4 linked regions of the Saccharomyces cerevisiae S288C genome follow. Changing the gene in region 1 together with any one later gene gives a genetic interaction. Each region holds a gene or a part of one and is shown in the gene's direction. Other genes may lie near its edges. The genes, in order: CQD1, HAP5, DDL1 and IMP2.

Evidence for each region.
Region 2: mutations in CQD1 (region 1) and HAP5 together harm fitness more than expected from each alone (negative genetic interaction), as found in Saccharomyces cerevisiae (2 studies listed by BioGRID).
Region 3: mutations in CQD1 (region 1) and DDL1 together harm fitness more than expected from each alone (negative genetic interaction), as found in Saccharomyces cerevisiae (2 studies listed by BioGRID).
Region 4: mutations in CQD1 (region 1) and IMP2 together harm fitness more than expected from each alone (negative genetic interaction), as found in Saccharomyces cerevisiae (2 studies listed by BioGRID).

Annotation. Positions count from the first base shown.
Region 1 is NC_001148.4:341,237-349,598, reverse strand, and holds CQD1 (Cqd1p), read left to right. Parts: upstream 1-2,209; coding exon 2,210-4,002; intron 4,003-4,154; coding exon 4,155-4,335; downstream 4,336-8,362. Other genes in the region: DPC25 (Dpc25p), read right to left, coding at 1-480; YPL108W (uncharacterized protein), read right to left, coding at 647-1,153; GDE1 (glycerophosphocholine phosphodiesterase), read left to right, coding at 4,860-8,362.
Region 2 is NC_001147.6:1,006,790-1,013,928, forward strand, and holds HAP5 (Hap5p), read left to right. Parts: upstream 1-3,371; coding exon 3,372-4,100; downstream 4,101-7,139. Other genes in the region: CIR2 (electron-transferring-flavoprotein dehydrogenase), read left to right, coding at 432-2,327; SNX3 (Snx3p), read right to left, coding at 2,435-2,923; VTS1 (Vts1p), read left to right, coding at 4,400-5,971; 3',5'-cyclic-nucleotide phosphodiesterase PDE2, read right to left, coding at 6,452-7,139. UniProt on the Saccharomyces cerevisiae protein: Acts a component of the CCAT-binding factor, which is a transcriptional activator and binds to the upstream activation site (UAS2) of the CYC1 gene and other genes involved in mitochondrial electron transport and activates their expression.
Region 3 is NC_001147.6:370,491-378,672, reverse strand, and holds DDL1 (putative carboxylic ester hydrolase), read left to right. Parts: upstream 1-2,815; coding exon 2,816-4,963; downstream 4,964-8,182. Other genes in the region: NAD-dependent histone deacetylase HST3, read right to left, coding at 1-454; AHC1 (Ahc1p), read left to right, coding at 961-2,661; protein-arginine N-methyltransferase SFM1, read left to right, coding at 5,234-5,875; MCO10 (Mco10p), read right to left, coding at 6,716-6,988; HSP10 (Hsp10p), read left to right, coding at 7,829-8,149. UniProt on the Saccharomyces cerevisiae protein: Probable phospholipase that hydrolyzes phosphatidic acid.
Region 4 is NC_001145.3:339,178-346,186, forward strand, and holds IMP2 (endopeptidase catalytic subunit), read left to right. Parts: upstream 1-1,964; coding exon 1,965-2,498; downstream 2,499-7,009. Other genes in the region: ARP9 (Arp9p), read left to right, coding at 1-100; RCH1 (Rch1p), read right to left, coding at 241-1,545; putative tyrosine protein phosphatase MIH1, read right to left, coding at 2,679-4,343; stress-responsive transcriptional activator MSN2, read right to left, coding at 5,226-7,009. UniProt on the Saccharomyces cerevisiae protein: Catalytic component of the mitochondrial inner membrane peptidase (IMP) complex. IMP catalyzes the removal of signal peptides required for the targeting of proteins from the mitochondrial matrix, across the inner membrane, into the inter-membrane space.

The DNA of each region.
Region 1 (8,362 bases):
ATGAGGTTGTTCTGCTTTTTTGCTATCGGTTTCCAGCTTCTTTTCACGTAACTCAACAGGGACATTTTCCATATGTAACAATCCCAAAGGTGGATTCCAGTCTTTAGGCCACTTCTCCTTAGTTCCTGCGATCTTTTCCGCAGCCTCTTTCCTTCTATGTTTCCAGTCTCTTAAATCCTCGCTATATATCTCCCAGACACAGTTAACGCAACCTGACATGCAACAGTTATCGGGTTCTTGTGGTTTTGCAGGCACTTGGACACCTGCTATTTTCTTCGTTCCGCCGCTAAGCACTCTACTTGTGGATCTTGGTGGTTCACCCTTTAAGCGTCCTCCAAAAACAGTGGTCATTCTTTCTTCGACAGAAGTAGAGATATCTTGAGTGTTTCCTTCAAAAGTCATATCTACTCTGGAGTATCTTGTGAACCTCCGCACCGGATAAATTCTGTAAAGTAATGACCATCCCTGATTTCTTATCATTTTCTACTTTTGATCACGTCTCTATCTAATGACGGTTTCATGCACCCTCTGACTGTTGTAATTTACGTATTATTATTCTGTTTAATTTATGCTATTTATGTAAATGAGTTCGGCCATGTCGGAGGAGAAAGATATCTTTTTTCAAATTTGAGTATCTGATTCGGGCTTATAATACATGCCCACGACATCGCTCGATCATATATTCCAACTCTTCAAGCTCCCTCTTCATTTTATTCTTCACGTTGAACGGTTCAAAGAGCCCCAGAAAATAGGTGCTGAGATCCAGACACTCCTTGTACTTACATTGGTAAAATAAACGATGGCAGAAACCACTAAGCACCTGTCGCTGATGCTTATTGGAGATATCGTACTTGCCTTCCCGGATCTCAACCAAGGGATCTACCTCATCCATCCATCCTACCTTTGTCCGCACAGGGCCTTGTTCTACTTCGAAGTAGTGCTGCAATTGCTGTGTATACTCTTCTTCCGTTTGACCTTTACGTATTTTAGTTTTCCCGGTGGATTTTCTAACAATTACTTCACCTGTTCTACCATCTAACGAGATTGGCTTAGTCACTGATTGATCCTTCTCTCCGTGGGCTTTCCTAAAACCTGTACTATAGTTTTTTTCCACCATTTTTGGTGCTTCTTCTCTATCAGATGCTTCTTTCATAAAAATTATTATCTTTCTTAGCTGTTATTCATCTTACATTTTTTTTTCAATTACGGCGAGGCGATGACTTCAATCGTTGCTGTCAAGATTGAATTGACAATTACAGTCGATGTTGAATATTAACTTATATATGACAGATCATTACAGCTAGTCTAGTTCGACAAGATTAGTAAGATTAGGAGTTATTTTTAACTGCTTATTATGCAAGTTGTGTAGGCCACAGGCGCAACTGAAAAACATAATTTCAGATTAGGCAGTTACTGGAAAGATCGCGTTCTTGTATTGTCTAAATAGAAGCAGTTGTTTTAATAATGCTTACAATTGAACTATGAACCAAAGCAATAATTTATGAGAAACTAAAATGGGATGCATCAGATCTTTGCACTCAATTGAGTTTAAAACTGTACAGGTACTAATATTATATTAACGCTGCTTCTATAACACTTGTTTTGACATGACGATAAGTGTAGTGTATTCAAATGCCGTATGTCACTTGAACACACAGGGAACTGCACTCTGCACTTCGGAACAAGATTGAAAGTTACTGTGTTATTAACCTTTGCCAACAAGCGAAAACAACCAGGTGTTTCTGCGGTTTACAAAATCTTTAAGGGATTGAGGTTAGTTGGCTCAAAGAGAAGAAGTTCCCAGTCGATGTATCAAGCAGAGCTAAGAGAAAAAGTGCCGCGAAAGGGTTTGATTGGTCAAGTTGGCTTGTTCATCAGGAACTAAATTAATCAAGGTGTGATTCTATCTGTCAACCCCCCCCCTTGATACTTCCTGTACTTAGAATCAATTTATTAAATACAAATTTAGAATCTGTGATTCGTAAATCTTAAGTGTTTAAATACTAAGTGTGTATTAAAGGCTTTACTTCAAGCAACGAAAAATAAATAACCCCGAATATATGAGGGGCAATAATACCTTTTCACTCATTTGATGAAAAAGAAAAGATGTTTGATGTTATAGAAAATACCTTATACCATATCTTCTACCTACTCATCAATATCAAACCCTCACAGAATAGAGATAAAGAACATCAGAACCATCTGGGCAATGTCATTTTTAAAGTTCGCTTATAGAAACTCTTGGCGATACTATAGCAAGTCCACACGGCATTTTCATAAAATACCTATAAGACAGTTCATAATACCTACGTCAATTGCTTTTTATTTGACACAAAATTCGTTTCCAAAACAAAATTGTTTGATATACAATGATTCTCTAAAACCGGATCCCAAAGGTGATACTTTTGAAATGGGCCTCTACGTTTCCTCAGAAAACGAATTGCAGGAAAAGCTTAAATCTTTCAGGTCTGCTAAGATCACTGAATCACGAAATAAATTAATAAGATATCTAAGAATCTTTTGGTTCGGTTTTAATGATAATATTGTTGAGCCTGTATGCACGATTTTAAGGTTTTTAGAAATTTCAGCTATTTTTTTACCTCTTCTCCTATTATACCCCATATCATGGTTTGGTCATAAACTCAAAATTACGGACACCAATATAACTGAAACTCGAGGTTCATTGATTTGGTGTCAACTACTGCGTAAAGCATTGGAATTGGCTGGCCCGAGTTTCATTAAACTCGGACAATGGGCAGGATCGAGAACCGATATATTCTCTCACGCACTGTGTCATGAGTTGGGTAAATTGCATAGTAACGTTACAGCTCACTCTCTAAGCTTTACTCTGGAAAAACTTTCTCAAGCATTAAAGGTTGACAAGATCGAAGATGCTTTTGATGAATTTAATCGAACACCAATTGGAGTTGGGTCCATCGCACAAGTTTACGTGGGTGAACTATCCCAAAAGTACATCGATAAATATGACAATATACAAATTGGTAAGGATGGAAATCGTTGGTGTGCCATCAAGATCTTGCATCCAAATGTAAGATCTCAGATCCGGAGAGATTTGAAAATAATGAAATTCTGTGCTGACGCAATAAATTGGATTCCGACTATGGAATGGCTGTCTTTACCCAGCGAAGTCGATCAGTTTTCCATATTAATGAATATTCAGTTGGATCTAAGAATTGAGGCGTTAAACCTGGAAAGATTCAATGAGAACTTTAAAAATTCTATTCAGGTGAAATTTCCTAAACCATTTCTCCCCTTGTCAAATAGGGATGTTATGTTCGAAGAGCATGTATATGGTCTTTCCATGGAAAAGTTTTTATCTACGAAGAAGCAAATTAACGACGTTGAACTTTGTAAAAAAGTCAGTGATCCCTTCGTTGACGCGTTTCTACAAATGCTAATTCTTGATGATTTTGTTCATGCTGATTTGCATCCAGGCAATGTTATAATCAGATTTGTGAAGACGAACAAATACGGCACAAACATTATATCCTCCGAACTTGAATCGTACAGAATAACGCACGACCTGAGGAAGAAGATAGAGGAGGACCAAGATCAGGACTTTGTTGGAAAACTGAAGTCTGTATTAACTAATTACACTCCCCAAATTTGTTTTATCGATACAGGAATAATTACAGAATTGAATGAAAAAAACAGAATTAATTTCATAGCTCTATTCAACGCATTGGCCCGATTTGATGGTTATAGAGCTGGTGAGTTGATGATTGAGAGATCAAGAACTCCAGAAACAGCTATTGATAAGGAAGTATTTGCGTTTAAGGTAGAAAAGCTAGTGGATAAAGTTAAACAAAGAACATTTACATTGGGAACCGTCTCAATTGGCGATTTACTCGATCAAATGCTTAGTATGGTAAGGTCGCACCATGTTAGAATGGAGTCCGACTTTGTTTCCGTGGTGGTCGCTATTTTACTTCTAGAGGGTATTGGACGCCAGTTAGATCCAAACTTGGACTTATTTGAAAGGTTCGTATTTTACGCATGGATTAACGGTTTTAAAGAATAACATCAATTTTTTAAAACCCTTTTCTATTGCTTTTTTTTGCTTTTTATTGCTACTAAAGAAATTCTTTTACTAACAAAAATACCCACATCTTGTAACTTCTCTTCGTAAACAGTTCGCTGCCTATATTACGTGAATTCGGGTTTAAGCGGGAAGCCAAAAGTCTCTTGAAAGATGCAAGCACATTATCAATGCTCAAGATATGGGTTGGTTTAGAAGTGCGTCAATTAATGCATCTCTCGATGAAGCAAATATACGATCTTGTCAGGACTGATCAATTGTGTCCTAATTATTAATATTCTTTCTTTTTATGCATCTTTTATAATTGCGACTTCCACGTGTTCGCAGGTGGAGCAATGTTACACACGCTGTCCCAACATATTAGCTCTCCAAAAAAACGACCAAGTTTATTTAAGTGACAAATAATAATTTGCTGTTGCTCTAGCTGAAATTTAGACCAGTGCTGTCATTATCGACTCGTAGTGTTCTTTTAATAGTAAATTTCGTCAAAACGTTTCTAATTCACTTAATAGCGCCAACTGAATAAGAGAATTATTTTTAGAACGTGCACATTATATTAAAAAGAGAGCGTTGGCTGACAGAAGTAAAAAATAAATTATTGTCTTACAAAGTGAGACTATTAAAGAGTTTAAGTTTTGCAATTAGTGCTTCATTGAACAATAAGGCAACGGTAGCAAAAAATTTAAACCCAACTAAGAAGGGAACCCTCATCAAATTACACAAAAATAGCCACTATCTCCAACTAAGGTGACAAACTACTGAAACTGTAAGGTCTTTATATAATCAAACAATATAATCAATGAAGTTCGGAAAAACCTTTGCCAATCATCGCATTCCAGAGTGGTCAAGTCAATATGTTGGCTACAAGTCGTTGAAGAAAATGATTAAAGAAATTACAAGACTTCAAGAAGACATATATAGGGCACATAACAAGAATAGCTATGATGAAGGCAGGCCACCAACAAAAATGAGAGATTCATCTAATAGTGCTCAAAATTATTTGGACTCTCCAAAAATCCAAAAGTTATTGGCGTCGTTTTTCTTTGCAGTTGACAGGGATATTGAGAAGGTTGATACATTTTACAATTCCCAGTATGCGGAATATAAGAAAAGATTTGAGAGATTGCTTTCTTCTAATCAATTCAATGAGATAAAATCAACATTAGTGGTCGATGCCAACAAAGAAGATGCAGTAGCGCAAACCTTACTCACAAAGGATACGAGAGAGATGAATATGCTTTTAAAGGGAACAAGTCAAGCCAGCCGTCTATCTTACCATAAAGATGACTTAATTGAAATTCAGTCTATCTTAGCTGAGTTAAGAAAACAATTTAGAAACTTAAAGTGGTACGCTGAACTAAATAAGAGAGCTTTTGGTAAGATTTTAAAGAAACTGGATAAAAAAGTCGGCACAAATCAGCAAATGTCAACTATGAAAACTAGAATCTTGCCGTTACAATTTGCTAATGATTCTCTTATTACCAAAGATTTGAGTTTGCTAAAAACTATCTGGGAACAAGTGACGTTCAGGATAAATTCTTACGAGAGAGTAATGAGGAGTACCTCGCCGAACGCAAATGCTAATGATAATACAGAATTCTTTAAGATTATTTGCGTTTTTATAGAAGAAGATGATAGCAAAGGATTGATTAGAGAGCTAACAAACCTATATTCGGAATTGTCTTTGATTCCAACAAGAATTATGATAAGTGTTTTAAACAAGGCAGCACTGTCTAAATCACTGGCATGTATTGATGCTATCTTAAAGGTTATTCCGTCTCTAAATGACTCGGAAGATATTAACAGAAGAAATTTTTTCCATCATCACATAATTGCAATCGGGAAGTTAATCAGAAAACAGGAAATTTTAAGTAGGAAAAAGAAGTCACAACCCTCAAAATATACTAATAGTGAGGGAGAAATTGTAACAGATTTAAGAACCCTGCATACGACCCTATCTGCCCCGGCAGAATCAGATAGCATTACAGAGGAGGAAAAAAGTTCGGCCTGTACACTCTCTTATATTTTAGAGGAGTTACCAATTCATTTAAGACCATGCCTTTTTCAGCATGATAATTACAAGAGAACGCCCTTGCATTATTCTTGCCAGTATGGCTTATCTGAAGTTACGAAGTTGATTATCAAGTTAATGAAAGAATGGAATATCTGGAATGAAATCCCTATTGATGACGTTTCCGCGTTCGGAGATGCCGAATCATTGACACCTTTACATTTATGTGTGTTGGGTGCTCATCCCAAAACAACAGAAGTCTTATTGCAATCTTTGGATCCGAACGTGAAATTAAAAAGTTCAAGTTTGTTACATTTGGCCACTGAGTGGAATAACTATCCCCTTTTACATGTTCTCCTATCATCAAAAAGGTTTGATATTAATTATCAAGACAACGAATTACATGAAACACCGCTATATCTTGCTTGTAGATTAAATTTTTTCGAAGCTGCTGTGTGTTTGTTGTACAATGGAGCCGACCTTGAAATAAGAGAAAAACTTTTTGGCTGGACAGCTATCTTCGTTGCAGCAGCAGAAGGGTTTACGGACATTGTAAAGCTCTTGATAGCCAACAACGCGAACTTTGATATTGAAGATGAAGGTGGGTGGACGCCGATGGAGCACGCGGTATTGCGCGGTCATTTGCACATTGCTGATATGGTTCAAATCAGAGACGAACTGGTCACGCATCCCCATTCACAGTTGAACAGTGGTAGCGAAGAGAAAGAACCACTAAACGAAATTAGTGCCGGAGAATTAAATGAGAGAAATGAAAATGGAAACGGAGGTAATAAAGGGTCCTTGGGAAAACTGGCCGGACCAATAAAGTCATATGGACACAGATTCCTGGATAATAATGAATCACTTATACTAATAACATTGGGAAGTAATGACACAAGAAACAAAAGCCCTTCAATTTCATTAAGCTCGGAAGCACTAGCAAAAGTTATTGGGTTGGAAACAGATTGTGCATTATCGTTAGTAATTTCATGCAATGATTCAATTGATAAATCTTCTGTAATCTTAGATTTACCATTAGATGATAATGTGGACGCAGTAGACTTCAAAGTGCCTTTCAAAGTTGATTATTCTCATACATTATATTTTGATATTGTGCCAACATATGGAACACGCTCGTTGGAGACCCATAATAGAATAGATTGTCAAAAAAATAACAATAATTACGTAATGGCAAGGGGTGTTTCCATGTTGAATAAGTCGTACAGCTCAGTGGGAGTTAATAGAAGTATATTAAATGGTAGCGTGACGGTCCCCATCATCGCTAATCATACACTGGAGATACTTGGGACGCTGAAATTTGAATATATTATTATCACACCATTTGAACATCCACAACTGCCCTTAGAAAGAACAGAAACGTACTGGAAATCCTTAGTGTCCACTCGTGTTATAGGACATAGAGGCCTGGGTAAAAATAATCCTAATAAATCATTACAAATTGGAGAGAACACAGTCGAGTCTTTCATCATGGCAGCCTCATTGGGAGCATCGTATGTAGAGTTTGATGTTCAGTTGACGAAGGATAACGTACCAGTGGTATATCACGATTTTCTCGTAGCTGAAACAGGTGTCGATATCCCCATGCATGAATTGACGCTGGAACAGTTTTTAGATTTGAACAATGCCGATAAAGAGCACATTCAACGTGGAGCAGGTCACTCACCTCATCATGTAAATGGAGCAGATACAGCACTACAAAAATATAGAGGGCGTTCGGTAGATGATTCAGACGTTAGTACATTGAGGAGAGCTTGGGATTTACACGACAACGACCCGAATGGGAAGTCCAACAATGCTCATTGGTCTGACAATCGAATGAGGCTAACCAAAACATTTAAAAAGAACAATTTTAAGGGAAACGCTAGAGGACATTCAATAGCTTCATCATTTGTTACCTTGAAAGAACTATTCAAGAAAATCCCTGCCAACGTTGGGTTTAACATAGAATGTAAGTTTCCCATGCTTGATGAGGCAGAAGAGGAAGAGTTAGGGCAAATAATGATGGAAATGAACCATTGGGTTGACACCGTGTTAAAAGTAGTTTTTGACAATGCGAATGGTAGGGACATCATTTTTTCGTCATTTCATCCGGATATTTGCATCATGCTTTCGTTAAAGCAACCGGTTATTCCGATCTTGTTCCTGACGGAAGGTGGAAGTGAACAGATGGCCGATTTGAGAGCCTCATCGTTACAAAACGGTATAAGATTTGCTAAGAAGTGGAATTTATTGGGGATTGTATCTGCTGCAGCACCCATTTTAAAGGCCCC
Region 2 (7,139 bases), on another chromosome or scaffold:
CTCATTTGGACAATTTTTAGCTAGTTCTAACTTTCACTACAATATTTAAATAAATAAACAACCATAAATAAATAAATGAAAAACAACTAAACCGTTAGAGGTGGACTAATTTACTGTTAATGACAGTAATTTTTTTTTTTTTGGCTGTTTTCGGTTATTCCGGATATATATGGATTGATCTTCATTTACCCCACAGTTAGTTTATCCGAAATTTGCGGGAAGCTTTATTTTTTGTTACCAATGGATCGCGATTTGCCATGACTGTAGAAAAGAAAAGGTTAACTGAAAAATTCAACTTTTTCAAGCGGACTGAGTAGTAGTGGTCCCCACTTAATTAATTTATTCAATACGTTATATACTTACTGTTACTTCAGGCCACATAAAAGAACAAACTTAAGCTAGACAGGAAAATCCACTCTGGGAAAGGGAAAATGATTAAGTTCACTAACGAGAACTTAATTAGAGGGATCCGAATGACGATTTCCGCAAAATCTCGTCATTTGGCTCTAGGGACAGATATGACGAGAAAGTTTAGCTTGTCGTGTAGGTTTTTGAACAAAGCAAATCTTACTGAAGAAGAGAAAGAGTTGTTAAATGAACCAAGGGCGCGCGACTATGTGGATGTTTGTATAGTTGGAGGAGGGCCTGCGGGATTAGCAACAGCAATCAAATTAAAACAGTTAGACAATTCGTCAGGAACAGGCCAATTGCGTGTCGTTGTTCTTGAAAAATCCAGTGTATTGGGTGGACAAACTGTTTCCGGCGCTATATTGGAACCGGGAGTGTGGAAAGAACTATTCCCTGATGAAAAGTCTGACATTGGCATTCCGTTACCAAAGGAGTTAGCTACGTTGGTAACTAAAGAACATTTGAAATTTTTAAAGGGGAAATGGGCGATCAGCGTTCCAGAACCATCTCAAATGATCAATAAAGGACGTAATTATATTGTCTCTTTGAACCAAGTCGTCGGATATTTAGGAGAAAAGGCAGAAGAAGTAGGAGTTGAAGTTTACCCCGGAATAGCTGTCTCGGATCTCATATATGATGAAAACAACGCCGTTAAGGGTGTAATTACTAAAGATGCTGGTATTTCGAAGTCCGGTAAGCCTAAGGAAACCTTCGAACGTGGGATGGAATTTTGGGCTAGACAAACTGTATTAGCAGAGGGCTGTCATGGTTCCTTAACAAAACAAGCCTTGGCAAAATATGATTTAAGAAAAGGCAGACAGCACCAAACTTATGGATTAGGTATTAAAGAAGTTTGGGAAGTCAAGCCGGAGAATTTTAACAAGGGATTTGCAGCTCATACCATGGGGTACCCGTTGACAAATGATGTTTATGGCGGTGGTTTCCAGTACCATTTTGGTGATGGGCTGGTCACTGTGGGCCTTGTCGTGGGGTTAGATTATAAGAATCCCTATGTTTCACCTTACAAAGAGTTTCAAAAGATGAAACATCATCCATACTATTCAAAAGTTTTAGAAGGAGGTAAGTGTATCGCTTATGCTGCAAGAGCATTGAATGAAGGTGGACTGCAATCTGTACCCAAGTTGAATTTCCCTGGTGGTGTTTTGGTAGGGGCTAGCGCGGGTTTCATGAACGTTCCAAAGATCAAGGGTACTCATACTGCGATGAAGAGTGGATTACTTGCCGCTGAAAGTATCTTTGAGTCCATAAAAGGGTTACCTGTCTTAGAAGAGGTTGAAGACGAAGACGCCAAAATGGCTATGTTTGATAAGGAGGCAACTATTAACTTGGAATCATATGAAAGTGCATTCAAAGAATCATCGATATATAAGGAACTATACGAAGTGCGTAATATTAGACCGTCCTTCAGCGGGAAACTTGGTGGATATGGTGGTATGATCTACTCTGGAATCGATTCTTTGATATTGAAGGGAAAAGTTCCGTGGACACTGAAATTTGATGAAAAAAATGACGGTGAAATTTTGGAACCTGCTTCCAAGTACAAACCGATAGAATACCCCAAGCCTGATGGTGTGATATCCTTTGATATATTGACCTCCGTGTCTAGAACCGGAACCTACCATGATGATGATGAACCATGTCACTTGAGGGTTCCTGGACAAGATATGGTAAAGTACGCCGAGAGAAGCTTTCCCGTTTGGAAAGGTGTTGAATCGAGGTTCTGCCCAGCAGGTGTCTACGAATTCGTCAAAGATGAAAAATCGCCTGTGGGTACGAGACTGCAAATCAATTCACAAAATTGTATCCATTGCAAGACCTGTGATATTAAGGCGCCCAGACAAGATATTACTTGGAAAGTACCCGAAGGTGGAGATGGACCAAAGTACACGCTAACTTAATCACAGGATTCATTATTTATTTAATTATTTTATTCATTATTTATTTAAATTTTTCTATTCATTCTTTTATATAATCTATATTATTTATTCACGTAAAAGAGTTCTTTTCAGCCGACAAACTTTTCAGCTTCAATGAACCTCACGAGAACTTTAGAACCAGATTGTAAAAGCGGGTGCCCGGCTACCGATTGCATCCAGGTATTCAAACCTTGTCTCCTCTCTTCAATGACTTCGTTACTAAATCTATTACTCAAGAGAATTTTACCCGGTAAATGAGGTACCATGACTTTTGGGTGATTAAGCATAGAAATTTCCTTGATCAAGCATTTGCGGAAGAATTCAAAGTCTGAGTATCGTCTCCTTACTTTCGATACCCTCTTGTGAAAACTTGGCAAGTTTGTACGGCATATTATTTCGTAATCTGTAAACATCCCCTTCGAATCCATCCCATTTGGTATATGAGTTTTAGGGTTGTGCACCTCAATCTCTAAAAAGTTCTCAGGCTCAGCGTATATTTCGCTGTAACTAGGCTCTCCATGTCCTTTTGACAGCAAAGACTTTTCTGTAGACCCAAAGGATTTGAATTCTCTTGGCATACTTTGTGTAGATGCGTACCGCTTCTCAGCTGTTCTTGCCGTCCTCTTTTATGCAGTATTAAGATCCGTTTTAATCCATTCATTCATTGCAGGTTTACATATCAATACATATCACTTAGTACGTGATAGTGCCCAAAGCTATCCTCGAGTTCACTTATGCAATTCTGAGCACCCCATAGCCAAGTCCTCATAGTAAATCATGGTCCCTCCTAGCGCAATACTTACTAGAGTGTAGAAATCCCGAAATGTCAAAATCGAAGAGTGTTGTGCTCCCTTTTCCGTAGTTAAACTTAAATTTGCGTGGGACGGCTCCCTTAAGATTGCTTCCGGAGATTAAGCTTCCTTAGCTGCTATAATACCGCGTAAGCAAAGAAGAAGAATAGAGGGGAATAGGAGATAATGTAAGAGTTGTGACGCATTTGCAGCATCAGGATTGTTTACTCGCATAATGACTGATAGGAATTTCTCACCACAACAAGGACAAGGACCTCAAGAATCGCTCCCGGAGGGACCGCAACCCAGTACGATGATTCAGAGAGAGGAAATGAATATGCCAAGGCAATATTCAGAACAGCAACAACTGCAAGAAAACGAAGGGGAAGGGGAAAATACGAGGCTACCTGTTTCTGAGGAAGAGTTCCGGATGGTACAGGAGTTGCAAGCTATCCAGGCGGGCCATGACCAAGCTAATCTACCGCCAAGTGGTCGAGGATCGCTTGAAGGCGAAGATAATGGAAACAGCGACGGCGCAGACGGAGAAATGGACGAGGACGATGAAGAGTATGATGTGTTTAGGAACGTTGGTCAGGGATTGGTGGGCCACTACAAGGAGATAATGATCCGTTATTGGCAAGAATTAATCAACGAGATCGAGTCTACGAATGAACCTGGTTCCGAGCATCAAGATGACTTCAAATCACATTCCTTACCATTTGCGAGAATCCGCAAGGTCATGAAGACGGATGAAGATGTCAAGATGATTAGTGCAGAGGCCCCCATCATTTTCGCCAAAGCCTGTGAGATCTTTATTACAGAACTGACTATGAGAGCTTGGTGCGTGGCAGAAAGGAATAAAAGACGAACTTTGCAGAAGGCAGATATCGCAGAGGCCCTGCAAAAGAGTGACATGTTTGACTTTCTCATCGATGTTGTGCCTAGAAGACCTCTTCCACAATGAGAGAGTTAATGGTTATACAGCTGCCATTTGACCGTGCACCACAGCAAATTATCTGTTGGAAAAAGAAAAAACGCAAATTTTTTTCATTATTTTTTTCCAGAATAAGTTTGGTAGCAAATTGGCGATGAGATATCTAACAACGACTACTACTACTACCATAGGATTGTCTCGAATACATTGTGTTTTGCAGTCACACTGGTACTTCGTCCCTTGGGCAATCTAGATCACTGTATATACTATAGATATTGTTTTCAGAAGAGAAAAACTGTTCATATAAAGTAATTGTCAGCAAAGAAATCATGAAACATCCGTATGAGGAATTCCCCACAGGTTCCAAGTCACCATATAACATGTCTAGAGGAGCTCATCCAGGCGCCGTTTTGCTATCACCACAATCTTCTGCCATAAACAAGAACAATCCGGGCAGCAATTCTGGCAATAACCAGGGCAATTCATCCGTGACCGCGAATGTTTTGTCCCCTCAATCCCATAGTATGTCACTCAATGACATGCTTGATCAGCAATCCTTTATGCTAGACACTGCGGGAACCAGGGCTCAGCCGCTCCAGCAACAACAGCAGCAGCAACAACAGCAACAGCAGGCGTCGTTGCCTTCCCTTAATATTCAAACAGTTTCGTCTACAGCAGCTGGTTCTGCTATCGTTTCCCCCATGATGCAATCTCCAAAGGCGTTGCAATCTACTTTATCTTCAACATCTATGTATTTGGATTCATTTCAGAGATCTCCAAATAATATTTTGGGTATTCCATCGCAGAGTGGTTCAATTCCTTTGCCGCAATCCCGTCAATCGCAACAACAGTCTCAATCCCAAAAAAACGATCCGAACATGGGCACCAATTTCAGCCAAGACATCAACCAATTATGTTCTTGGATATCCATGCTGAACAGCAGCCAACAAAATACTGTAATGGACAATATCCTTTCCATTTTGAATGATGATGTTTTGAAATATACTAAGTTAAAAATAGAGACTTTGACAAACACTCCCTTCATCTCCCCACCGCTACCTGCAATTGCATCACCTATACCTAATAGGGATGACACACAAATTTTGAATATTGATTCAGTCTTTTCTTCAAGTCCTATAACTAATGACCCTGAAAATACCGATAACTTGTTGTATCAAAATTGGTCCCCTCAGCCACATTCAATACCAATTAGCCAACCCATATATGACAACATCACCGACGCTAGTCAAAGGTCCAAGTCGGCTGAGCCTCATGTTAATTCAAGCCCAAATCTCATTCCTGTCCAGAAACAATTCAACAACGGTAACAGTACCAAATATAAAAAGTTGCCATCAGAGAATCCCAACTATCTTTCTCACTCTCTCTCAAGTTCCCATTCTTTTTTCCAACCAAAGAAAAGGTCTAACATGGGAAATGAGTACAATTCTCATCACCATCATTCATTGCATCATCCTCTGCATAATACCACCTCATATTTTTCGAATACTTCAAGACCATCAGGAACTGATTTGAATAAGTCCAACCAGAACGTGTTCAATAATACCATTACGCATCCTAATGCTGGTCCTACAAGTGCCACATCGACATCTACATCATCTAACGGAAACACTCCTTTATCGAGTAACTCTTCGATGAATCCAAAGAGTTTGACAGACCCCAAGCTACTAAAAAATATACCCATGTGGTTAAAATCGTTAAGACTACACAAGTATTCAGATGCCTTAAGCGGAACCCCGTGGATCGAATTGATTTACTTAGATGACGAGACTTTAGAAAAAAAAGGCGTTCTTGCCTTGGGTGCAAGGAGAAAATTGTTGAAGGCTTTTGGAATCGTTATTGATTACAAAGAACGTGATTTAATTGATAGATCTGCTTATTAAATCTGGCATAATAAAGTTGATTGTCTTGACGTTGCATAAAGATTTAATTTTTATTTACTTTGCATATACCAACACAGGGAACATATTTCATTTATTTTGTAATTTTAACGTTTTCTTTTATGGAGTTTAATATTTTAGATTACACCTGTTTTTGCACCGTTTAATGGCATAAAACTATTTACTTAACTTTTAACTCGGGAAATATGTATCACTATACTAAAAAACATTAATTTAATCAAAGAAAAATAAATTTAATGTATGTATCTATATATATATATATATATCACTTAAAACAGACAATAGCCATAATCAACTGGGTTATTATTATACAATATTAAAGGAAGAACGCATATTTGAAAAAAAAATAAAATGGGTAATGAATTTTAGCACAAATACTTCACAAAAGGAAATATACTAGTAGTAAATGTATATATTTATATGTTTATACAATGAATGGTACAAGAAATTTTGATATTCTTGCTATTGTGGTTTCTTGTGTTTCATCCAGTATTCTTTATTGATTTTGACATTATCGCTTAAAAATTTTAATCCTGAGAATTTTTGACTTAATGCGTTGAAAAATACTTCAGCAAACGTATTAATGAAAAATATTTGACCGTTTGGAATATGCGGATGGTCTTTGATAATATCATCAGGGTCTGTTACGTTCACCAAAATATTTTGAATTGATTCCAAATCTTCTTTCGGAGAATCAACATTCTTGTATGAATCGCCAAAACAGTCTTGTTCTGGGCGGTGAGCTTTATGAAATGTTTCCAAAAGAGCGCAATCATTAAATTCGAGAGTAATGAGGTATGCCCAACGTGCTGATATTGACAAGGTTCTCGTCACATTAGAGATGTCTGCAGCTTTAATAATTAGAGATATCAAAGTGATTTGTTTCATTGGGTTTTCATGCATTAATCTATCCTCATACTGAGAATGCAATGCCATATCTGTGGCCAGAATAGCCTCGGAAATAAAATCAAATTTTTTTTTGGAGATAGATAGCAATTGAGGCCAATGCTCTGATAGCAATTGTTGAAATAATTCCCTGTGAAAATTCTCCAAGATAGAGACATTTTTGAAATTTTGAGCAACCTCTGATTCACAGTTGCACAATAGTTGATTGTTAGTCCCAGGATGACCGACATCATGACCTATGGCA
Region 3 (8,182 bases), on another chromosome or scaffold:
TTTGCGTGTAACAGCGCAGCAGTTTGTTCCTATCTTTTAGATGCGCAATGAACTTGTGCGTCTTAGTCGGCTTTGCCAATTGAACATTTGAATAGAGCCTCTCCATAAATTTAGCAAAAATGGATATTTTGAAGTCATCTCTAAATAGCGAAATATCAAACATTTCCCTGCCGGACTTGATAGACCAATACTGTGAACAATCCTTTTTCACTAGGTCGTAGAGCCCATCAGAAGAGCGAAAGTCAGGAATGCCCGCGTTGCACGAAATGCCTGCCCCAGTCAGACAAGCAATTCTCCTAGATCTGCTCAACTGCTTGGTTACGCGCCGGAGAACTTCATCGTCGGCATCAAGACCTATAATATGTGCCAGTTTCTCAGTCTGCAAAGAGGACGGTAAGTCGGAGCACATTGAGCCCGATCGACTGGCAGGTGGCGAGGGCGATACTGAAGTCATTTTTGAGAAAGATGGATCTAGTTGTATGTAAATTAATCCCTTCAGTTTTTACACCACTAACCACGTATTTGCCCTTGCTTGTGTTATATATAAGACGTACGCCAGATATAGTTCTCTGGCACGAATAACATTGCTTGCTTTTATTGACGTTTTACCCTTTGTGGTAACAGCAAACATAAACGTCGTTCGTGATGTTGAGTTACTTATTGTTACCCGCAATTGAGGGATACCCGCCACAGAAACACATGCAGTGCATTTGCCACTGTGCATAGCCGTAGGAAGAGGGAAAAACGAACAGGGAAGAAGCAGGAAGAGCAGACAGCAAGAACCCGTGCTAAGGAAGGTGATGAACTTTGGCCACTGAAGGCGCATTTTACCTCTGAAGGATCCCGTTTCCACATTTGTAAGCTAGTGTTCGTTCATATAAACACCCTGATCTTCGGCATTTCACTACTCTTCGGGCTCACGCTTCTCATCCAACACTTTGTGTATATGTCCATCTCCTCATGATGAGTCCCGCCCAAGATAAACTGCAGCACCAGCATCATAATCCTAATTCTTCCTCATCGTCATCCTCTAAGATGACGAACGTTTATCAGGTTACCACGCCAAAGTCTCCTCAGGATTTGGAAAACAACATGGATGAGCCCTTCAAAATGGACACCGCCACCAGTAATCCGGACAAGGATAGCGAAAATACCCAGCGGTTGAAGTACGAATGTGCCAAAGGGGAAATACAGAATGTTTTGAACCTACATATAATGCTAAACCACAAGCATGTTAGGCACTTACGAAGAAATGTTCAAAAGGTTAACGCAAAACTAGCTCTCTTGGAAACCCTGCATAAGGATACTGGTCTATTGAACAAAATCGAACGGACGTATCAACTCAAAATAAAACAACATCAGCAGCATAGCGTGCTCGGCGGCCACTTTCACGACAGTACGGCTACGGAAAATACGAACGCATCAAATTATAACCTGTCATACCCGGTTCTATCGGATTATAACATCAACTGTCAGCCTTTGTCTTCGAGCAGCAACAGAAATCTGTCAACAACACGCATACCACACCACCATTATCATACTAGAAGCAAGAGTAACGGGCTTTTGCTAGAACCTTCTGCCCTCCGTCCGGCAAATTCGAATATAATTGATTACAGGCTAACAGGTTCTAAATCTCTATCAGAAGCCATAACCAAGCCCACTCCCGTCTCGCTTCCTCACTCTAATTCGGATGGCATTTCTTCACCTCGTTCCTCCTCAATCTCCCCCTTAGACGAGCAGCCGGGGTTCCAGATACTCCCTTTTAAACCAAGTCAGATGCATCTTAACCACAGACGTAATTACAGTAGCACTTGTTTGACGAGCAATAGCGGTATCATCGGTAAGACTGAAAATAATGAGCCCATTTTTAGAAGATATGACGGCATTTTGGTTATAATTACGTGCTCCAAATGTGACCGTTCCGGTTTCACTTCCGCGCAAGGTATCGTGAACCATACTCGACTAAAACATTCTAAACTATATTCAAGCCAACCATTGGCAGTTTTAAACAACCAAAAACTACTTCCTAATGATAAGCAGGATCCGGAAATTTTATCTAAGTTCAAGAAACTAAATTTGGACCCAAACAAAGACTACCTACCCTCTGACATTGCAATCCCAAAACCACAATCACCAATCAACCACTCCGAGAACCATACGCGGGCTCCAAAGACTGTCAAGAACACTCCTCATTTAGAAAAACTATACCAAAATAAAGAAGACTTCAAAAAACTGATTGACATGGTTAATGAAACTCCGGATGATTTGAATGAATATTTGAAGCAACGTGAAATTCAATTAAGATATCAAAAGGAGCAAGAAGAGGAATCTTCCAAATCTGATGACGAAGCTTCTTACGTCCCATCACCGTCTCTCTCAGCAACGGCTACAACAACAACGACTACGGACCCACCCTCTCCGCCAGTGCTATCCTCCTCCTTACAAAGAAAATTGCTGCGTAAGAGAAAACTGAGCTTGAATAGCTCTACTCCCATGGAAGATTTACCTTTAAGAGAAAGGTTGAGAGCAAATCCCACTGACAAGAAACCAAGAAAAGCGGCCCTTTTGACTAATGAACTTGAGGGTCCTGATCCTGCAGCAAAATCATCATCTTATTACAATCTAAGGTCGAAATCAAGACTGCGTGGTTCTCATACATAGTACACACATATAAATAAGTAAATTACGTAATATAATATTCTGTTGGTTTTCTGACCTAATTTGTCGCTTTGGAAGAAAAAGTGGATTGTATTTTTTTGCATATTCCCTAATATTGAAGATCACTGAATATACTCACAGTGAACAATTACTTGAAATGCTACGGTTTACTCATCGAGGCCTTCCCTCCAGCACTCGTTTTAGAAACATTTTCGTAAGGTTAAATCACATTTATGTACCATGGTTCTATGCCATAGACGTACCCAACTCCAAACCCTATTTACCCACATATCAAACTTTACACTCACCCAAAAAGTTTAAGCCGTTCTCCGTTGATGATTCTAATCGTTTGGAAAAGGCCAGTAAGCGTCAAGAACGCAGGCCTGTTTTAGTCAACGAAGATTACCTGTTTAAAGTCGACCTCTCTCACATGGAATTGTCCCCTACCTATTGGGAAGGCCCTACTTATCAAGTACGAAGAGGTGTGTGGTTCGACTCTTCAAATCAACCTTTGTCCAGTGATCTTACCTCCGAAATTGAAGGGTTGTATAAGCAGCTCAAATTCGACGACAGTAATGATGATCCGACCACGACACCTCCTGCAGAATCGCAAGATATATTTAGGCTCAAAGGTAAATACCCAGTCGATAAAGAAAACGAAGGAGAGCAAAAAAATGGATCCAGCAATAAAGATGAGAACGAATCTACTTTCAAGTTTATTTTGTTTGCCAATAAACAAACTGCATTTTTACTATCGGATTTAGATGGAGGAAAACTGCAATTAGCCTTTCTAAGGTCTAATCTGGCTCAATCCTTACCGATTAATGCTACAATGATTACAAGATCATACAAATATTCATCCTCCGCAACTACTAAACAGACATCCACATCTTTTAAGGCAGCAAAAACGCCTCAAACGGAAGTAGCAGATGGTAGTAACAGTTCCAAATCGAGGAGCATTGAAACAAAGTTAGAAAAGAAAGTTTCAAACCTCTTCAATTTATCGGACTTTTTACAGTTGTTCAATGGTAATGCTAGTAAAGATCAAGATGATGCACAGAGCTTGGAAAAGCAAATGGAAACAGACTATAACAATGCAGATAACAGTCAAGGCGCTAATGCTAGTAGCAAAATAGAAGATGGCAAAAATTCGGGCGCAAGCGATAGACAAATTAGAAGTAACAGAAGAGATGTGGATAACTTGATACTATGCGTTCACGGTATAGGTCAGACTTTGGGTAAGAAGTACGAATACGTAAATTTCGCACACACGGTAAATCTACTTAGGTCTAATATGAAAAAAATCTACAATAATTCTGAGAAACTACAATCATTAAACACAGCACCTGATTATAAAAGCAACTGTAACGTTCAAGTGCTACCCATCACCTGGAGGCACTCGATAAGTTTCCAAACGGATGCTAAGGAGGAAAATATAGAAAATCCTGACCTACCGACTTTGTCACAAGTCACAGTAAATGGAGTGTTACCCTTGAGGAAGCTACTGGCTGACGGTCTACTAGATATTTTGTTGTATGTCGAACCATACTACCAAGATATGATTCTACAACAAGTAACCTCTCAATTGAACAAAACATATCGGATTTTTAAAGAATTTAATCCAGAGTTTGATGGGAAAGTCCATTTAGTGGGCCATTCGTTGGGTAGTATGATATTATTTGATATTCTATCCAAACAAAAAAAATATGAATTAGAATTTCAAGTAGACAACCTGTTCTTTATTGGCTCACCAATTGGATTGTTAAAGTTAATTCAAAGAACAAAAATTGGTGACCGTCCCGAATTTCCCAATGACTTGGAGAGAAAATTAACCGTACAGAGACCGCAATGTAAGGACATTTATAATGTTTACCACGTCTGTGATCCCATTTCTTATAGGATGGAACCTCTTGTTAGTAAAGAAATGGCTCATTACGAACAAACTTATTTACCACATTGTAGTGAAGCTTATGGACTAACTTCTAAAGTTTTGGAATTTGGCGAAAACATATGGAAAGATTTGCCAGGTACTGATGAAAATAATTTGCAGTCCAAAAAAACTTCTCCAGAAAAAAAAGAGGTCAAGTTATCAGAAAATCTTACGAGAATGCTTACAGGTTTGAATTACACCGGACGTCTAGATTATGCTATGTCTCCAAGTCTGCTAGAAGTGGATTTTATATCAGCTATAAAATCACATGTTTCTTATTTCGAAGAACCGGATATTGCAGCGTTTATCCTAAAAGAAATTTTAAGTAAACATGAAAATGCATCAGAAATATATGTAAAAAGAAAGACTGGTTGATCAGTAAACGCAAGGCACAAGTTTTTTTTAACTTTTTTCTTTACTGTCTATTATAGTTCCACTGTGTAAGGTTGTATTCTTTCCGTACTTCAACTTGCGGGTAACAGGATTGACACCTTTTCAATTTTTTCCGTTATTTTGGATTAGAAATTTTCGGTAAGCTCATCGAGTATTGTAAAAGAGCAATGCCCTTTGCTTATTAGATGTTGAGGGGCATATCTATTGTTAATATAGATTGATACAGCTGTGGAGATTATTTCTAGATATACGATGAAGTACATTATTGAGCATATGGAGGAAGGGTTTAGTGAATGGGTCATTTTAGAGTATAGCCAAATCCTGAGAGAAGTAGGAGCTGAAAACTTGATTTTATCATCGTTACCAGAGAGTACCACGGAAAAGGACATCCCTCAAAGGCTACTAAAACTTGGTTTAAGATGGACTACAAAGGATTTGAAGGGCATTAACGAAGATTTCAAGGATTTGGAACTGTTAAAAGATGGCAGAGTCTGTCTATTGGACCCTAGGGCTACAATCGATTTACAGCCGGAGGATGCTACGAAATTCGACTATTTCGTATTTGGTGGCATATTGGGTGATCATCCTCCAAGAGATCGTACCAAAGAACTAAAGACTGCCTATCCGAATCTTTTAATTAGCAGAAGACTAGGTGATAAACAAATGACTACGGATACTGCCATAAGAACAACACAGTTGATTATCAAAGACAGGATTGCATTTGAAGACATCAAGTTCATTGACTACCCTGAATTTAGGTTCAATAAAAATGAGGCCACGGAAATGCCATTTAGATACGTTTTAGATAAAGAAGGTAAACCTATTTTGCCTGAAGGGATGTTGGATTTGATCAAGAAGGATTCTGCTCAAAGTTTGGACGATCTGTTGATGTAGATGAGAACAGTCCTTTAAGTAACATTCTATGGTTGTAATAAGTGATGATGCTTCCTTGTCAAAGAGTTAGTTGAAAAGTTTAGGGTCGTAGCATTAATTATATTGTATATAGTTCAAAAACGACATTCAATGAAAAAATCAAGTTTATTAGCCAATGAATATTTCGTATTTTGCGTTAGTAGCGCTACCAAGACTTCTGAAAAGTGCATGCAAGAAAAATAAAAACAAGGAACCGTTTACTTTTATGATATCATCATTGTCAGGCCAAATAGGATAAAATTGATTGGTTGTATTATGCTTTTTAATTGAAAAAAAAAGTAGAAACTTTTATTATTTTATTTAAATTAATTTCTTTACATTACTTGCATCTAAAACCAAACGAGCTGGTGACTTCAAGCACTGCACTAGTTGCCATGGCTTTGCTAATTCAGACGACCCCCTTGAGGTGAAAAAATAGTCTCAGTAATGAAACAATCATAGGCAATTAGTTCGATTTTTTATAATTATCTTCCAGCCTTTCAAATATTGAAAGGCCATCAACTATCACTTACACCTGAGTGTTGTCATTGATCCGTAAAGTAAAAAGAGGCAAGTTTTGTGCATATTCGTATCATGCACAATGGCCTAAGGCAAGTATTTTCAGTGTTTTTTTTTTTTCATTGCCGTTTTGCTATTCAGAATATATTGAATTATATGTATAATGCATACTTAATAGAAAGAAGGACGCTAATTTTCGTTATAGAACAGTAGTTTCAAAAAGTGCTTCAAGTTTATAGAAATCAGTGCATCCCTTCACTGAACGATGAAGAACACCACCATTTCAGAAATTTTTATACATAATCAGTTGGCTTTCGTATCCTGCCTCGTATCTTTCTCTAAATCATTTAAAAATCCTTCAATACTCTTTACGACATCATCGTCCTTTCCCATAGCATCTGAGTTTGAACTTTCACCGCTTTTTTGTTGGCTCAAGGCAGAACTATTCTTGCCTTCATTTTTGGTTTTTGGTTTCGTGGTAAAGTAAGATGCCACTGCAGCAGTAGCGATAAACGTAGATATAGCCAATACGTGAGGTTGAACCGTCTTCCCAAATACTTTGTATGCAGCACCCATTGAGATAGCTATATTTATTTTTGTATATCTTATGTTTAGAAACAGTAGCGACCTTTCTTACTTGTTCCTTCAAAACTTGACTTAGATAACTATTTACCCTTAAACCGTTAGCTCTGTATTATGGACTGTGAAATTACACCTCGTTACCCGAAGTTCTATTATATTTTCAATCCATACTCCTATGATCTCTTCATTGGGAAAAAAAGGTCCACTTTCTCCTGGATTGCTCGAAGGCTTTCCGTAAAGAAAATACCTTTTATTTTTCTTTGCTTTCTTTCTCCATTAAATAGTAAACGCCTCTTTCTGAGGCAGCTGGCTAAAAAAATGTAACAAGGAATTTTATTTTATTACGGTTCAGCAAAGGCCGTAACGATAGTTGTATTATTTTCGTTCATATGTAGCAGCGATGGTAGCATTTTTTATTGTATAAATTGTGGCTTGCGTCGATTATCTTATTATGCCACTCATAATAAAAAGTTACTCTCAAAATGTCAATATTCAATAATGCATGTCTGTCTTTTTAATTTAGTACATACGTAGGATTAGGTATTGGAAGCAATCATAATGAGTTCTAAAGTTGTTATTTCTCACTTATTGCACCTCTCGAAGTTCTCTCATTAGCCGCCCAATTCTCATTCGTGTGAAGGTCATTAACGGGGTAATGCCCGTCATCAATGATAGAAATTTCTAGAATCTTGAAGGAATGGGAAAAAGAAGCTTGATTATGTATAAAATTAGTCAAAACGCTTATACAGTACAAACTTATTATGTGCTAGGTTTAAAATAATTTCTGATAGAAGCCATTGATCGAAAATATATTGAATCTACAGAAAAAAAAGAATGTCCACCCTTTTGAAGTCTGCTAAATCTATCGTTCCATTGATGGACCGTGTCCTTGTCCAAAGAATCAAGGCACAAGCAAAGACAGCATCCGGGTTGTATTTACCTGAAAAGAACGTGGAGAAGTTAAACCAAGCTGAAGTTGTTGCCGTAGGCCCGGGCTTTACTGATGCTAATGGTAATAAGGTTGTTCCTCAAGTTAAAGTTGGTGACCAAGTTTTGATTCCACAGTTTGGTGGTTCTACCATTAAATTGGGTAACGACGATGAAGTTATTCTTTTCAGGGACGCTGAAATCCTGGCTAAGATTGCCAAGGACTAAGAATGATGTCTTCTTCAACAGAGATTTTATATA
Region 4 (7,009 bases), on another chromosome or scaffold:
TTCTAAGCAAATTTTCACTCATCCTAAAGATACATTTTATATCACAAGAGAAAAGTATAATATGAAAGGACCGGCTGCTCTTTGGGACGTGCAATTTTAAGAATACGTGATAGATGCTTCGTGTATCCAAAATCCGTGTGAATATGTGCTGTTTAGTTTTTTCCATCCAATGAGGATGGGAAATATATACATAAACGTTATGTAATATATAGAATTCATGCAAAATTAACAAGGGAAATATCACCTTGGTTGTGTATATGGGACGTTGTTCGACAGAACGGATTGATTTTCACCAGTTCCAATTGATATGATCTTTTCCAAATCAACTTCCTCATTCTCATTTGCACAAGATGACTCGCTTCCGTCTGCTTGAGCGTCCTTTTGTATCCATCTTTTGAACAAGCTTACAAAGAAATTTGCCGTCATGACTTGCTCAACTTGATATAAAACCAAGGGAACCAACAACTTACCCAGGTGTTCTTTTTTATCGCCGTATTGTGAAGTAATTAGTGATACACCCAGTGCTGCAGTTTTAGCCGGGCCACAAAACATAATGCAAATCGCATCTTCCTTTGAATAATAAAAAGGCCTAAAGATATTATACGAATAGCGGTACAATCTTGTAGATTTGCCCTCTATTGGTTCATGAGGGAAAAGCTTGAGGATGAACCATGGCCTTGCACATAAGTATGACAGACCCGTGAAGAATATATAAATTCCCAAATTAAAAAAGCAGAGAAATATGATGCAAACATGAGAAACGCTAGTAAACGCATCCTGATAAAAGGCAGTTGAGAATGAACTAAACATAATCAATAAAAGCATGTAAGATCCAATTTTAATATGGTATTTTTTCAAAAAGCCCAGGTAATAAGCAGTACCCTTCGGAAAGCAATTTTGAATAACCTGACCCACAAACAAGGGTACGAATACAGAGAGACCAACCTGTTTCATAACACGGCCATAAAGCGCACCAATGCCATTTCCAGTGGCAGGGTTGCCGTATGCAAATGGTGCGCGGTTAGTAAACATTTGAACCAATGCAGGTGTAATAAACGCACCCAACAAATTTCCAATGAATACTTCACAAACGCACAAAAGGCTATTTCCACCTGCATTCGTAGTCATGATAACGTTTGAAGCCACGGTTGTTGGACAAGTGGCAGTCAAAATTAGACCGATAAGTACCCAGTCATCTATTTTCGGATCATTAGCAGCCTTTACCGCGCAACAAAATCCATATACTATGGACGAGGTAATAAGGAAACTCAGAACCAGAATAGTGGCATGAGCTCTCCAATTTAACATATTTGCCATTAGTGACCTTGATTTCATTCCCAGGCCACTTTGGAGAAAAATCCAGGCGACGCAGCCGTACCCAATACTATATTGGCCTTTAATTAACCCTCCGTCTCTTGCAAAATTCGGAGCAAATCTTGCAATAACGATTAAAATAGCCAAACAGATGAAAAACCACTGGGATTTCAGAAATTCTGTTACTGAATGTGCCCAAATTTTTCGTATTAGAGAGTACTGAGTCTTCATTTGGCACTAAGTAGGTGTATTAAATGTGTGTCTTCCTTCTTTTTGCAAGTTATGTCAGAGTTGGGATATATCGTAGAAAAGGGTGCGAAGGTGATTCAGGTAGCATAGACGGTTTCAGGCAATAAAAAGCTATAAATCTCTCTTTATATAATTGAAGGTTAAAATTTGCTAGATTTTAAAGTGGTTCGGTTCTTTTTTATGCTTTCTTAGCTTCTGGCTGTTCGTTGGAGCTCAGACTTACGGGTAGACCAATGTCATCGAAATACTGTGGAAGATCAAGCTCGGAAGGAGAGCGAGGCTAAGTTCCGAGCTACTGAAAAAAATGGAAAAAACAAGTGCCTTAATTGAATGACTAGATGGGTGCTTGTTAACGAAGGCGTGCTGCTATTCATGAAGCTGTTGCATTGTACTGTACAGTAATGTTTCGAGCCGGATCATCAAAAAGATTCTTACGAAACACACTAATAGCAATTTCATGGGTTCCGGTACTTCTAACAATCAATAATAATGTGGTCCATATTGCGCAAGTTAAAGGTACCTCTATGCAGCCTACGCTGAACCCGCAAACGGAAACGCTGGCAACAGATTGGGTGCTGCTTTGGAAGTTTGGAGTCAAGAACCCAAGTAATTTATCTAGAGATGACATTATCCTTTTCAAAGCTCCTACAAACCCTCGGAAAGTTTACTGCAAAAGGGTTAAAGGTTTACCGTTTGATACCATTGACACGAAGTTTCCATACCCTAAACCTCAAGTGAACCTGCCCAGGGGACACATATGGGTCGAAGGGGACAATTATTTTCATTCGATTGATAGCAATACTTTTGGCCCCATTTCCAGTGGGTTGGTCATAGGGAAAGCTATAACAATTGTTTGGCCACCCTCCAGGTGGGGAACGGATCTCAAACTGAGTACCGGTAGAGACTGCATTAGCAAAAGAGCCATTTTAGAATGAAAATCAGCTTATTTTTATGAATTTAGAAGTGACCCCGGTATTCAAATGCAAATTTTTTATATTATGTGATTAATCTAATGCAATAAATATAGATGATTGTGATTTATGTATTGATGTTGTTGCCGTTCGGTTCCTGAATATATACTTCTTTTTTTCATAATACTTCATGCACATGTAGTATCATTTTTTATCTTCAGTCTCTAGAGAAGGGAATAACGATCTTCTTGCGGGCCTGGGTAAATCTTCTCGGTCGGAACCAACGAAAGTAAAATCTCCGTCTTGCTCTTCATCTCCACTTACTTGCTGATGATTGCCTCTCTCATCTTCGAAACTAAAATATGATGGGGTATCCAGTCCGTCCATTAGTAGCATATGTGAAGTGCTTAGGTTACTGTTACTACTCATAGACGACTTACTTAAGATGGGGAAGAAATTTTCGTCGCCTGTACTCTCACTTGAATTTAATGATGAACCACTAGAGACTCTTCTGTGGTTTAATGACAGCTTCGGAGGCGGCTCAAACCTGAACGATAGTGCAGAAGATGCCATTGTTGTTGAAGATTGATGGCTATCTCTATAAAAGAAGTTAGGATTTGAAGGGGAAGCTAGTTTTCTAAAAGAATTATTTTTAGTAGCAAATCTTTTAGATTCTCTCCTAAACTTATCCATTTCTTGTTCACAATTCAGCAAATTTTCTTGTGAGTTCATTCCCACGTACTGACGTGGATAACATAGTTCAGGAAAATTGTCAAAAACAGCTTTGTATCCGCCATCCAATATCAATATGTCGGGATAGAATAATTTGGGATAATGATCCTGATTTATTATACGATCACAATTTCTCAAATGAGAGGCCAATGAAGGTCCCCGGTGGGAACTAAATTCGCAATGGATAATTAAAAGAGTTGGTAGAGTGTTGTTGTTGCTAGTATCGCTATGCAAAACTTTATGGATAAATTCGTACTCTAACTCATCTCTCGAGTGTATGTTAACGGAGTTTATTATGTGGCCGCCAGTATATTCGTATTCAAACCGACAATCTATAATACGACATGAATTATAAAATGACTCGCACATATTATTCTGCAGAATATTTTTCAACGTTTCTGGAGAAATTCGAGGGAAAAAGTCATTTGAGTTACGATCGTCATAATAATATGGTATCTGTGTTTTGGCTAGGCATGATTCAAAACATTTCACCCCTACCGAATTAGGAGCTAGTGGACTGGATGACGCAGACGTGAAGTTCAAAGTATTCTGAGTAATGTTAGAAAATTTCTGTGAACTTTTTCTCGATGACCTCGGAATTTTCCCATCTTGCCGTTGCACCCTCCTGCTTGAATTGCTACTGCTATTCATGCTTGGCTTTCTCGACAAGGACCTTGACCTTGAAAAAGAGCTCGACCTCTGGGGACTGCCAGGATACTTGATTCTACTTAAAAGATCATTATCCCTATTATTGGTCAAAGATCTTCTTGATGAGTTTCTTGTTGGACTTTGTAAGGTTTGAGAAGCAAAATGCATGCTTAAGACTATATCATCATTTTCATTTTCATTTTCATCTAACTCATCGCGATGGCCAAGCTGCTTTATATTCGGTGAAGGACCATCAATTTCCTTACTCCTGTGATTTGTTAACAATGGAGATTTATCAAAGGCAAGATTCTCTTTATTGATTAAATCATCGTCGACATTCGAATGTTTGCTTTTTGACTTAAAGAAGGTCTGAACATTTCTAAATATGTTCTTCTTCTTACCAAAGGGACTTTTCAAGGAAATTTTTTGGAAACTAAGAACGTCTTCATTGGCACATTCATCTTCAGTTCCATGAAATATATTGTTCATGGTTTCTTCACCCTCGCTGACTTCAATCCTGGTTTGTCCACTGCTCTGTTTATCTTTTGTCTCCTTTCAAGTTAACTCTCTTTTCTTTGTTTTCGCTTGTAACTTTAAGTTTTCTGATATACGGCATCGAAACAGGGAAAAAACAGATAAAGCATAAAAAAGAAGGAAATAACAGAGTGTAACTGTTGGGGAAATATCATAATGAGAATATTTAAACGCCGGAACAATGTATCAAAAAGGGCTTTACCGCTAATAAGTGGAGTATCTATGCTTTTTTGACGTATACAATGGACAGAAAAAGCGCCATATAAAACATTGAAGCCCCTCTTCATCCTTAGTCCTGAAAATGAGGCCTAGGAAATTAAGTATTCGGCAAAGATACATAATACAGTTCTAAAAGTAGCAAACTGGTAGATACTATTTGTGGCGCAGTTAGCTACCCCAAAATAAAAACGGTAATCTTCTCCCATTAGGGGCACCCCTCTTGCTTTTGTACGATGTGGTATCTTCGATTTTCAAACTGACAGGCATATTGCACAGCATAATGCGCACGGAATTCATTAAACTGTACGGATATATATATGATATTACGGTGCCATATGATATTATACAATATTATACTGTACTGTACTATATTATATTATATTGTATTAATTATATTATACTATACCCTATCATACCAAATATTTTGGCTATATTAATTTTTATCTACGTGTATCTAAGTTGTTACAGGCGGGGGAACTGAATTCCTTCAAAATGTGAAGGTACCGGAAAAATGGCAAAGAATCATGATAATAATAACAATAAGCCGTAAGCTTCATAAGTCATTGAACAGAATTATCTTATGAAGAAAGATCTATCGAATTAAAAAAATGGGGTCTATTAAATGTCTCCATGTTTTTTATGAGTCTTGATGTGTTGCGACAAATTATCGCTTCTACTAAATTTCTTATCGCATATGTGACAAGCAAATGGTCGTTCGTTAGAGTGAACAGATCTCACATGCCTTTTCAAATGTTCGCTGCGCTTAAAGCTCTTGGGACAAATGTGACAGTGGAACGGTTTCTCCTCGAGTTCCTTTGTTGATTCTATTACGACACTTGATCTTCTGGACGGTGTCATTGATTTTCTCCTGTAACTTGGCCTTCTTTCCTTCGTAACCCCAGCACCATTGCCAGTTGAGTTGACACTACTACTGCTTATATTATTTTGTTGATTTGTAAGCGGCACCGTACCCATCAAAGGCACAGCAGACTTCCGCCTCCGAAGGGAAGAACCGATTTTAGAGTTCATGGTATGGTGACCCTGCTGTGGGAAATGGTGATAGAAATGATTTGTTGCAAGAGACGTGGAGGATGATGATGCAGGCGATAATGGAGCCATATTCATTTGAGTGATGGAAAGATCGAAATTTGGAGTAGAATTAGCATTTTGTTCACCTTCCTCTGTCAAAAATGGCATATCATTACTCAAGCCTGTAGTCGCCACTTTCGCAATAACGGACGCATTGTCTGAAAGAATCATAGACGGTTTGATAAATTGTTGAGATGAACTCAAATTTGAATTCGGCAGCATATCGTTCTTGGGGTCTTCATCCTGCTTATTAACCAGGTCGTAGCTTAGTGAATCATCGATTATGGGTAAAGAAGCTCTTTGCCTTCTTGAATAAAGATCGCTGTTGAAGGATTTCATGTTAGTGCTACTGTTATTATGTGACGAGGTGAGCTGCTTGTGTTGAACTCGGTTTAGCTGTTGCTGTAATTGCTGACTTGGATTTATCTTTGTCATAGCATTGGCATCAAAAGAACTTGGGCAAGCAGATTTGTTCTTGCCAGAAGTGGATGTGCCCAAATTATCGTTGAAGTTCATATTATATTCGTTAAGAATCTGTGTCAACTCATTGTCTATGGTAGCGTCATTGTTTTTCGGGTTGCCAGCAATATTTGAGTCTGCATTTGCGTTCATAGTAGTGGTATTCGGACTTGCATTGGAACTTGAGGTAGAATTAGTAGTGATATTGAGATTTGTATTTCTATTGCTTGGATTAATTTTCGGATGGTTCCAAAGGTCCAAAGAGTGAGAAATAGAATTCCTCGAATTTGTCATTGACGGAAATTGGTTTGTTATAACGTCGCTAAATCTTCGGCGTGATAAATTAGTGTCATCATCATCATCATTCAATAAGAGATCACTAGAAACGTAATCATCTAGCATGGAGTCTATGTTCAGTGAATTAAAATAACTGGAATTTAAATTACCCGTAGAATTGGAGTTTGAATTAGAAATGGAGTTAGAATATGAATTTGTATCTGAGTTCAATTGATTTCTTAGTTTTTCGTTCAAATTGTTTGGGTTAGTGTCAATGAAAAGATTCGAATTAGCACCATTAGGTAAGGACAGACGATTATCTTTAATGGACGTATGTTGTTGGGCTCGAGGAGATATAAGAGTTTCATTACCATTTGAAGTTTGAGGCGATAAATTAGTTTCGTTACTTGCTGTATTTATGGGAGGATTTATAGTCGGATTTTGAGGTACCGATGAAGGTGACGGTGATTGTAACGGATTGTTCATGTTGTACAAAATGTCGTTCATAGGATAAGGTGAAGTAAGAGTTGTGTATTGATTTGCCCCAGAGCCACTAGCATTATTAGTACTCTTAATTT